Linked DNA regions of Cricetulus griseus. The protein of the gene in region 3 purifies or fractionates together with the protein of the main gene of each other region. This does not show direct contact. Links are inferred from orthologs where the notes say so. Each region holds a gene or a part of one and is shown on either strand. Other genes may lie near its edges.

Region 1 (3,647 bases), on a different chromosome or scaffold from region 3:
CCATTCACATGGTGGTTCACAACTGTCTGTAATTCCAGTTCCAGGGATCAAATGATCACTCTCTCTGGCTTCTGAGAAGACTAAGTACACATGTGGTGCACATTCATACATGCAAGCAAAACATTCACATACATAAAATAAAATTGAAGGGGGGAGGCTAGAGGGATGGCTGAGTGGTTAAGAGCGCCGATTACTCTTCCAGAGGACCCAGGTTCAATTCCCAACTGCTCTTGCAGTCAGCTCAGCACCCATCCACATGGTGGTTCACAACTGTCTGTAATTCCAGTTCCAAGGGATATGAAACCTTCACACAGACATACATGCAGGCAAAATACCAATGAGCATAAAATAAAAATAAATATAATCTATAAAAATATAATCTTCAAAAATAAAACAAAAACCATAAAACGCAATAACATTGCCTAGAACCAATGATTCTTCCAAAAATAACTAACTTTGTAGATAGTTTTAAAAACACTAAGACAGCCGAGCGGTGGTGGCACATGCCTTTAATCCCAGCACTCGGGAGGCAGAGGCAGGTGGATCTCTGTGAGTTTGAGACCAGCCTGGTCTACAAGAGCTAGTTCCAGGACAGCTTCCAAGCCACAGAGAAACCCTGTCTTGAAAAACTAAAATAATAATAATAATAGTAATAATAATAAAAAAACACTAAGAGGCTGGGCGTTGGTGGCGCATGCCTTTAATCCCAGCACTCGGGAGGCAGAGGCAGGTGGATCTCTGTGAGTTCAAGGCCAGCCTGGTCTCCAGAGCAAGTGCCAGGATAGGCTCCAAAGTTACAAAGAGAAACCCTGTGTTGAAATCCCACCACCACCACCAAAAACCATTAAGACTTTAATTCTAAAAGGTGCCCTTATCACCCTATACTCCCCTCAGACAAGGGGGCATTTAAAGGAGGTCTGTCAATAGTGGCAAGAGGCAAACGACCCCCTATAAATTGAGCAGCATTCTCAATTTATAAATTGGACCATTCTGCCCTGTCCAGTCAACTGAGGGCAGCCAGTCCCACTGCTTAAGAGCCTCCACCCTAGGAGACAGGAGCCTCAGGCCTGCACAACAAAATCTAAGCAGACCTCCCACAGTCATTGTCCATTGACACCAGAGCATCAATCACAGTACTTGAAGCTGAGCCCTGGGCACCAGACATAAAAGAGGACCAGAATCAACAGGAAAGACCTAATTTTGAAGAGAAAAAGCAAACAGCAAGTCACAAAACCTCAGGCTACACCCATGATTTTAGGTAACAGTAGGAAGGAAGTCAATAACTAAGTAGTGATACAAGGCTTTTGCCTTCACTTCAGATAAGTTTAAATGTTTTAACAAGTACTTCTGAGAGAAATCCCACAGGCAGGCTTCCCCTTGGGCTGTGCGCACTCTCAAGACAGTGGTATCTTTATCCAGAACCTATCCTAGGTCACCTGCTGCTCCCGTGGGCATCAGCTGGAGATCTCAGTCTGCAGTCACTCACTACACCATGATTTCAGGGCCCTGCTGAGGATTCCACCGAGAGAGCTTCCCTCTGGGGTGGCCTGAAAACAAATTCCCAAGCCCACAACTGTTGCTTCAGCAACTGGCACTCTCACCCTTTAGTCTTTCCATCCTCTTCAGGGTAATAGTCATTTATGATTTTTCCAAACTTGGAGAAGATCTTGTGGATGACATTTTTGAGCTTCTCAAGCCGATCCGGTCCCACCTGAGGAACGTTGTCTACAACAATCACTGAGTCGATCCCATCTGCTTCCTGAGGCCGATCCTTGAGTATATCACCAAGTAATTCTGAAGGAGTAAAAGAAATGTCAAGTGGTTTCTATTGAAGCCAACTAGCTCTCACCTCTTAGCTAGCAGGCTGATTATGTCTAAGAGGCATCTACTCTAAGGGCTTTCATCATGAACAAAGAAATCATGACCTAACTTAAACAACAAAGAATCAAAAAGGCTAATCCCCACACTCCTTTTGATGGGCAGTATTGTCAAAATGTACCCAGTTGTAACTGCTGGGTGAATGCCTTTAATACCATCACTCTGGAAGTGAAGGCAGAAGCAGGTGGATCTCTGAGTTCAAGACCAGCCTGGTATACAGAAGTTCCAGGACAGGCTCCAAAAGCTACACAAAGAAACCCTGTCTCGAAAAAACAAAATAAATGAATGAATGAATATATTTTTAAGAAAAAAAGCAACTTCCAACATACTAAAGTAGTGCTGGGATGGAGGGTCAGTGGGGAAAGTGCCCTGCTGCCCACAAGCATGAGGAACTGATTTCAGATGGCCAGCACCCACAGAAAAACCAAGTGTAAGGTGGGCATGGTGGTTCATGCGTTCAGTCCCAGGACTCAAGAGGTAGGCAGATCTCTGTGAATTCAAGGCCAGCTTGGTATACATGGGAATTAGTAGGACAGCCGAGGTTACACGAGAGAGTCTGTCTCAAGAGTCAGGTGTAGAAGCATGCATCTATAACCCCAAGGCTGTAAGGGCAGAGGTAAAAGGATCTCAGAGGCTTGCTGAAGAAACAGTCTATATGTAACAGTAGCTCCGGGTTCAATTAGAGACCCTATATTAAAATGGAGAGTGGGGTGTAAAGAACATACCTGCCATAAACCTTGGTCTCCACACATACTTGCACACAAAAAACACATGTACACAAGAGAAAGCTGAGCTAGATGTAAGAGTGCTCCCAGCACCTGAGAAACTGGGGCAGAAAGACAGCCATTTTTTGAGGTCACCCAGATCTATACAAGATCCAGATACAGAAGTCTGACCTGGCATGGTAATCCACACCTTTAAACCCAGTACTCAGGAGCCAAAGGTTGACAGATCTGAGTTTGAGGCCAGAATGGTGAGTTCCAGAACAGCCATAGTGAGACTTTCATAGGCTTCATAGTGAGAGTCCGTCTCAAAAAGACCAAAAAGAAAATATATGTGGGGGTGGAGAGATGGCTCAGCAGTTATAAAAACACGTGTTACTTTCCCAGAGAACCAGAGTTCAGCTCCTAGCACCCCCAGAACCATCTGCAACCCTTCAGGGAACCTACTGCCCCCTTCTGGCCTCCAAAGACAATGCATGTATGTGGTACAAGCATACATGGAGGCAAAACATCTACAACAAAAAATAAGAGTAAGGAAAAATAGAACTGGAGAGATGGCTCTGCCATTTTAGAGCACTTGTTGCTCTTTCAGAAGATTAAAGCTCAATGCCAGCACCCACATGGGGGCTCACAGCCATCTATAACTCCAGTTCCAAGGAATCTGATGCTCTCTTCTAAACAATACTCACACACGTGGTGCATACACATGAATGCAGGCATACCTACATACAAAATAACCTAAAAAATAAATTATAAATAACATATATGATTAAAAATAAAAGGAAACTCTGGGCCAGCAGGAAGGCTCAGTATATAGAGAGCACTGTTGTAAAAGCCTGACAATTTGAGTTTCCTCCATTGTGGAAGGAGGAAACCAACTCCTCAATGCTATCCTGACTGCTATACAAATGTGCAGCACAGTACCAACTCACCTCATGACTTCTTGGGGTTTTTTTGTTTTGTTTTCTGAGACAATATGTGTTTCTCTGTGTGTCCCTGTCCGTGGCAGGCCTGGAATGTGCTCTGTAGACCAGGCTGACCTTGTCC
Region 2 (4,134 bases), on a different chromosome or scaffold from region 3:
CATTCTTTGCACTGTGATCCTTCTCTCCTAGGCATGAGGGGAGCCAAGCTGAGAGTGGGGAGCCCATGTATGTGGGAAGTAGGGACATCCTCTATTATGCACCACACCTTGCTGTAGCGACAGCCTCTTTGGTATAAAGCTCTGGCCTGAGGCTGGCAGGTACCTTGCTCGGGATCCTGCAGCATACTGTGCAGATTCCTCCCTTGGTACTTTCTACCCTAACCCTATTCAGTCATCTTCTGTATGTGCCTACACTGAATATCTCCTCTGGAGGACAGTGTGTCTTTTCACAGCACAGTGTTAAACACATGGTAAACACACAGTGCAATTTTGCAAAATAAACAGTGACTTAGCATTGCTGGGGTGTTTTAGTGGAGAAACGATAAACTGCAGATTTACTAGGGCCCAGCCTGCACTCCAGTCACAATCGTACAGGAACTGCCTGATGATGACCCAGCAAAAACTCCAGCTGCTTCAACTGAGAGGCACAAAGAAGGGTGTTGCTTAAGTGTGTTTAAAAAAACATCTCATGCCCCCTCTTAACACATAAATGGCAATTCCCTTTCCTCTAGGACAATCTGATTTGGTCCCTTCCTAACTGCCCTCCCCTGTGAGCTAAAATTACTATTTCTGCCAATTTTAACCAATCAAAGAGTTATTTTGTTTGTTTTTGTGATAAAGTCTCACATGTCCCAGGCTGACCTAGAACCTGCCAGGTGGCATAGGATGGCCTTGAACCCTTGCCTTCATTACCCCAAGTCCTGGAGTGACAAGTGTGTTACTATGCCTGGCATTACACCTCGTGAACTCCCTGCAAGGTACAATTCAGTCTCAGACATAAGTTGTCCTGAGATCAGCGACTACTTCATCTAGTGACGAAGGTAGACAGTCATACTTTTACATGTGCCAACAATCACAAGACTGATATGTTCCTGTCACTGGAAATGGCAGAGGCTTAAGTGACTTCCCAATCGACATGAAGAGCTCATTTTGGGCGGGAGTGGGAAGAATTCCTCCTTGTACATTGGAGGTGCAACTCACAGGACCAATTAGAGACCCCGAATGGGTGCCACTTCTGGTCAGTGTCTGAAGACAGATGTTCCATACATTTTAGAAGAATACAGAAACAAAAAAAGGTGGATGACTACTTGCAAAATAAAAGTGACTTCTAGGAACTAATGTGGACTCATTTGAGTTGCTGAGAACCAGAATGTGGGAAGACACATCAGAAAATGGGGCCAAGAGAGCTTGACCAGAAGCAGAAAAGCTGGTCTGGATAGTGCTCAGTTTCTCAGGCTGTATAGAAGGAGGGTCACTGTGTCAGACTGAGGACAGAACTGTTCAAAGGGAAAAATTGTTGTGGGATGATACTTCTGGCCTCTTCCTCCTCTTTAAGGCCAGCCCTGTCTGTTTCAGCCATACCCTTGTACTTTGCCACGGTTCCCCCTGCCGCAATCTCTGTGTTACACAAAAGGGCATGTGCATGAACATCTACCTCAGTGATGTTATCCTTGTTTAACATCTGAACAATGGGTCATTTTTTTGAACCATTCTTATGGGGCCCATGGCCTCCGAACTGTGTAGCGGTTGTGCTCTGCTGAAGTCAAAGGGAAGGTGGAACAGACACCTGTGAAACAGGCATCGATGCCAAAACTCGGAGCTCAAGAGGATGGTCTAGCTAAGACGATGCCAAATCCCTCCACTGTTTCCCACCCACATGACGAAGGGCCTTCCAGCCCCTTCCAACTCTGCGCCTCATAACCGAAGACACCATCTCTCCAGGCTCGTGGACCGGCCCTGTACTGCCCTGTCTCTGCCCACGTCCTATGAAACCCTCGTTAACTCAACTCACAAAAGCACAGAATACCTGGCCAGGCAGGAGAAACACGGTCGGCTAAGCACCTGCATTCGAATTTCCGTTTCCACCAGGTTGCCACAACCTTTCTGTTCGACCATATGGCTACTCGTGTACCTGTCTGCTTTCCTTATCACAGCCACTGAACTGTGAGCACTGTCTTCCCACACTTTCTCGCCGAGACAGATCCTCGGCGAGTTAACTTCGCCGGGCCGCCTGCTTTTCTTTTCTACCAGATAATAACTATAACAGCAACTACCCCACGGGCTTGCAGTGCGGACCGAATCATTCCTACACCGGGCTGTGTACAGCGCCAGCGGGGCTGGACAAACGAGAGCAGCCCTCGCGCGCCGCCTGGGGAGGGCTGGGCACATAGTGGGTGCTCAGTGTCTGCGGAATCGACGACGGACACCTCCCAGGTGCCGCCAGGCCGCTGGGGGAGCTGGGGGAGGGAAGCACCAGCCCGGGCGCTGAGGAAGGAGCCCGGCCCGGGGACGCGCGGACCGGGAACTTGGCGCGGGTCGGCCTCCGGGGCGCGGACGGCGGTTCCCGGCGCCCGGCTCCACCCGGTGCGGTAGGCCCCGGCGGACCTCGCGGCCGCTCGCCGCAGCCCCAGGACCGCAGGCCCGGAAGCCCTCCTGGGGCCTGCGGCGCTGCGTGCTGGGCCCCGGCTTCCGGGCCCGAGGCCGCGCGGCCAAGCGCGCGGGCCGCCCTTACCGGAGCCGCGGCCGCCTCGGCCATGGCCTGCGCTGTCCTGCCCGGCGCGGAGGAAGTCGACGCCGCGGCGCGCGGCCCCACGCAGGCCCGGCCGCCGGGTCCTCTCCGCGGCAGCGCCGCTCCTTCCCCGCCGCGCTCCTCGCAGGCTGGCCTCCCGCCGCTCGCCCGCCCGCCCGCAGCCGCAGCCGCAGCCGCACCGCCACCGTCAGCGCCCGGCCGCTCCACACTGCATCCTGGGAGCCGGCGCCGCGGCCAGGCAGACGAAGGCCCGTGAGGCTTCCTGGAGGCAGCGCGGCGGCACAGCTCCACTGCAGCTCGAGCGCGCGAACGGCAGCGCCGGCACCCGCCCGCCCGCCTGCCCGCCCGCCGCTGCTGCCGCCGGCCCGGCCCCGCCCTCCTCACGAGGCCCCGCCCCGGCCCAGCCTCCCGGCCCGCCCCCCGAGCGTCGCCCCGCCCGCCCCTTGCGGTCCCGTGGCGCTAGCCGTGCGACTGGAGAGACTGCCTGCCAGAACTGTCAACTCGGCGGCGGCCACCCGGTTCGGCGGTCTAAAACTTGGGCCCAGGGCTTCGGCGGGCAATGAGCACCCCTGGCTCGGACACTTCTGCAACAGCAGCACGCCTATCTTCGCCTTGAAGGGGAATTAATACCTCCAATAACAGAAAAATGGCTTGATAAGTCACAGGAGGCATCGTGTAGGATATTCTATAATATGTATTATAATAAACTACTACTCATGTTTACGTATCCATCCCCCCCATTCCCTCGCCCTCCCATCCTCCCACGTTCCCCACCAACCCCCTAACCCACCCCCCACCTCCACCCGAGGCATAGTGAGGCCTTCCTTCCACGGGGGACCTTAAAAGTCTGTTATATCATTTGGGGGAGGGCCCAGGCCCTCCTTGCTGTATCTGGGCTGCAACAGTATCCCTCCATAGGGAGTGGGCTCCCAAAGTCCATTTGTGCTCTAGGGATAAACACTGGCTCCACTGTGAGAGGTCCCATAGACTGTCTTGGCCTCCCAGCTGGCACCCACATTCAGAGGGCTTGGTTGGGTCCAATGCTGTTTCCCCAGATTTACGACTAGGGTCTCTGTGCTCTCACTTCGGCAGGTCAACTGTTTCTGCGGGTATCTCCAGCACCGTCTTGGCTCCTTTGCTCATCCCTCCTCCCTCTCCACAACTGGATTCCAGGAGTATGGTTCAGTGCTTAGCTGTGGGTGCCTGCTTCTGCTTCGAACAGCTACTGCATGAAGGCTCTAGGCTCTAGGTAACCAAGGTAGGCGCCAATCTCTATAATAAACATTTTAATGACGTGAAAAATGGAATAAAATGCTATCGTTTAAAATGTTTTGAATGGAGCTGGAGGCACTTGCTGTTCTTGTAGAGGGTTGGGATTTGGTTCCCAGCACCCACATGGTAGCTCACAACCGTCTCTAAATAAGTCCAGTTTCCGTATATCCGACCCCCTCCTGTGGTGTACCTGGACACCATATACGCACCAAAAGATATTGATTTTATACACACACACACACACACACACACACACACACACACATATGTGC
Region 3 (3,598 bases):
GCCTTGTCTCAAACAACCCCATCACCATACTTACAATAGATCTGCAGAGCAGGCTCAGCTGTCTGGCAGCAGGTACTAAACTGGACAGAAGGCAGTCATAATTATTTTAAAGACTGGCTTGTTTATAACTTGTATGACCTCAATCAAGTTACTCAATTACCCCAGGATTCACTTTCTCAACAAAGAAATAGGACACCGCATAAGTCTGAGCTGCAAGTGTTAAGCATGTCTGAGACCCATCTGCACAACTCCTGGCAGTAAGAAATGTCCCACAGTTTCTTCCCAGGGCTCAGCACTGCCACTAACATGCTATGCAAATTATGGCAGTTCATTTAAATATCATTTAAACAGACACAGAACATGCAAACGTCCTATGAAGCACACAGTATGTCATGAACACAGGGATTAGAGAACTCAGCTTTAACACTGATGCACCAGGGAAGCATAGTACACAGGACACAGTAGACTGCTGCCAAAGCTACAGATCTGCCCATTAATAATGAGACCACAAATCCAGCTCCAACAAAGACCCTTTACTGAGAGCTCCCTAAAACATCCAGTCCTTGATTTGAACAAGTTTCAACTCAGCTGATGGCTGACTTAGGTAAGGCTTCTTGATGACAAGAATGCTTCCCATCTACAATATCAAAACAGGTTCTTCACTCCTGCATGAGTGTCTTCAGGGCCTCTGTCCCATCTTCTTTAGGGTTCGATTAAGCTACAAGGGAAAGTAAAACTAAGTTAGATGTAGGATCTTTGGGACCTATCCTAAAAGTGTGCACATTCAGGAAGCCTGACTCCTGCAGGCCAGGGAGGGCCACAGAAAGCCAGGTGGCCATAGATCCTCTGTGGCCATAGCCTTTCTCTTGCCTTCACTTGACAAATGCACAGCCTACATTGCCCTGCCCATTTCACAGACAGGACAAGGGTTCAGGGTGGCTAGACCAGTTGCACTTCAGCCTCTCCCTGATAGAACAGTCCCCAATGGGTAAGGCTTAGACAGCTAAATAGTAAAAACAGTGCCACACTGTCACAATCCTGAAGGAGCATGTCCTCTGTCGGAGGACTTCGGGTACTAAGAAAAAGTGGCTCAGAGATAAACGAGGGAGCCCCATAACCTTGTGCTCTTCGGCCTGACATACAAGACATTTCTTAGGGTAAGAGCACCAGGTCTGTCAAACACAGTTTCCAGTCCTCCAGCATGCAGACACTGGCCAGACCTGTCTGAGCTGGAGAACGCCCCAACTGGGAACCAGGGAAGGAGGGACTCAGCAGCAAATCTACCCATATTAGGAAATACCAGGAAGGGTGAGGAGAGCAGCACCCTTTGCAGGGCCACCCGCAGACCAAGATCTTGGAAAGAGATACCCTAGAAAGGGCTGACACAGCAACTCCTGAACCCAATCCACTCTCCAAGCTGCCAGCCAGGCGAGCTTAGAAAGTTAAAGGGCCAATCACACATTTTCTTAAAAAGAAGCATGAGAAAAATTTCAAAGCCTCATCTCTATCCTCAGGTTTGTCAGCCATTCTCTCAAAGGTCTTACCTCTTCAAATTTGTGGATCTGCCGGATAAAGAAATCCCCATAGCGTCTGGCAACCTTGGTGTCTGCAATATGGATCATGTCCTATGGGAGAAAGCAGTCAGAACAGAAGTGGTGGGAAGGGGGGGTGGGGTGGGGAGGTGTAGGGTAGTGATGAAGAAGAGGGCCACCTAGCGTGGAGCCACTTAACTGCAAAGTACAATGGTGCCAAGTGTTAATAACCCCCACAGAGCTCCCGGTACTTGGGGGACAGGGGTGGGGGTGGGATGACAAAAATGCTCTAGTATTTTGCTATGTCCCCGCCCATCCTCTTGATTTTTTACTTTGAAGGTGCCATCCTTCTCAGTCTCCCATTGACCCTGGGCTACCACACTCAGGCTCCTAACACTAATTTTCATGAGCAAAGTTTGGGGGAAGCAGACCAATACCTGTTATTGAGAAACAAAAGCACGAACACACAGGCACATACATGTAATCCTAACACTTGAGAGGCTGATGAAAACAGGACCACCCCTGAGCTACACAGTGACGACTACCCTGCCCTCAACACTCCCTAAACCACCAAAGTCAAAATGGCAGAGCCTTTTAAAGTATGGATGTGGCATTGACTTAATCTGAATACAAGTTTCAGCAAAATGTGACTTGTGGGCTACAGAGATGGTTCAGTGATGGTGATTACCTGTAATCCCAGTATTCCTACTTGGGATGGGAGGTGGAGACATGAGCTTCCAGCACAGCAAAACAAGACAGACCCTGTCTCACCAAGATGGGAGGCGAGAACCAACCCCCAAAAGTTGTCCTCTGACCTCCACATGCACACCAGCACACAGATTCCACACACAAATAACAAAACATAAAATAAAATTTGAGCTGGGCGTTGGTGGTGTGCACCTTTAATCCCAGCACTCGGGACGCAGAGGCAGGCAGATCTCTGTGAGTTCGAGGCCAGCCGGGTCTACAGAGCGAGTGCGAGGACAGGCTCCAAAGCTACACAGAGAAACCCTGCCTTGAAAAGCAAAAAAAAAAAAAAAAAAAAAAATTTTAATGACCAAATTGGGAGAAGCATTTTATTAAACCATCTGCACTGGGACTAGTTGCTACGTCACTAGAAGATGACAAAGTGGGTAGGTTAACGGTACTATCAAAGAAAGTGCACATCGGGCTGGAGAGATGGCTCAGTAGTTAAGAGCACTGATTGCTCTTCCAGAAGACCCAGGTTCAACTCCCAGCAGAACTCTAGTTTCAAGGGACCCAACACTCATGGCAAAAAAAACAATGCACATAGAAACAAATAAATAAAAAAGTGCACATGTCACAAACTGAGAATGAATTCAGAACAGAAGAGGTGTGTGTGTGTGTGCGTGTGTGTGTGTGTGCGTGCGTGCGTGCGTGCGTGCGTGTGTGTGTGTGTGTGTGTGTGTGTGTGTGTAGTTGGGGGGGCGGGTTTTGCAGGCATATGTTGGTGTAGATGTGTACGGCTGTGCATAGGGACCAGAGGCTAATATAGAATGTCTTCTCTTTTTTTTTGTTTTTGTTTTTCAAGACAGGGTTTCTTTGTGTAGCTTTGGAGCCTATCCCGGCACTCGCTCTGGAGACCAGGCTAGTCTCGAACTCACAGAGATCCACCTGCCCCTGCCTCCTGAATCCTGGGATTAAAGGCGTGCGCCACCAACGCCCAGCCTTAGAATGTCTTCTTTTACTAGTCTCCACATTACCCTATTTTTTTATTTTTTAAGATTTTTTTTTGTTTTTTGAGGCAGGGTTTCTCTGTGGCTTTGGAGGCTGTCCTGGAACCAGCTCTTGTAGACCAGGCTAGTCTCAAACTCACAGAGATCTGCCTGCCTCTGCCTCCCAAGGGCTGGGACTAAAGGCGTGCGCCACCACTGCCCAGCTTTTTTTTTTTTTTTAAAGATTTTATTTATTTATTATGCATACAATATTCTGCTTCCATGTATATCTGCACACCAGAAGAGGGCACCAGATCTCATAAGGGATGGTTGTGAGCTACCATGTGGTTGCTGGGAATTGAACTCAGGACCTCTGGAAGAGCAGCCAGT

What was found.
Region 1: the proteins of Eif3l (region 3) and Eif3b purify together in Homo sapiens (affinity purification with mass spectrometry; 8 studies listed by BioGRID and IntAct, counting the BioPlex papers as one, with this or other methods). This does not show direct contact. The link is inferred for Cricetulus griseus from reciprocal best matches to the Homo sapiens genes EIF3L and EIF3B.
Region 2: the proteins of Eif3l (region 3) and Znf746 purify together in Homo sapiens (affinity purification with mass spectrometry; 3 studies listed by BioGRID and IntAct, counting the BioPlex papers as one, with this or other methods). This does not show direct contact. The link is inferred for Cricetulus griseus from reciprocal best matches to the Homo sapiens genes EIF3L and ZNF746.

Annotation. Positions count from the first base shown.
Region 1 is NC_048597.1:77,055,092-77,058,738, reverse strand, and holds part of Eif3b (eukaryotic translation initiation factor 3 subunit B), read right to left. Parts: intron 1,795-3,647; coding exon 1,602-1,794; intron 1-1,601.
Region 2 is NC_048601.1:99,134,136-99,138,269, reverse strand, and holds the start of Znf746 (zinc finger protein 746), read right to left. Parts: upstream 2,873-4,134; 5' UTR 2,597-2,872; coding exon 2,573-2,596; intron 2,465-2,572; exon of another isoform or gene 1,868-2,464; intron 1-1,867.
Region 3 is NC_048595.1:376,207,970-376,211,567, reverse strand, and holds the end of Eif3l (eukaryotic translation initiation factor 3 subunit L), read right to left. Parts: intron 1,626-3,598; coding exon 1,545-1,625; intron 719-1,544; coding exon 680-718; 3' UTR 513-679; downstream 1-512. UniProt on the Homo sapiens protein: Component of the eukaryotic translation initiation factor 3 (eIF-3) complex, which is required for several steps in the initiation of protein synthesis.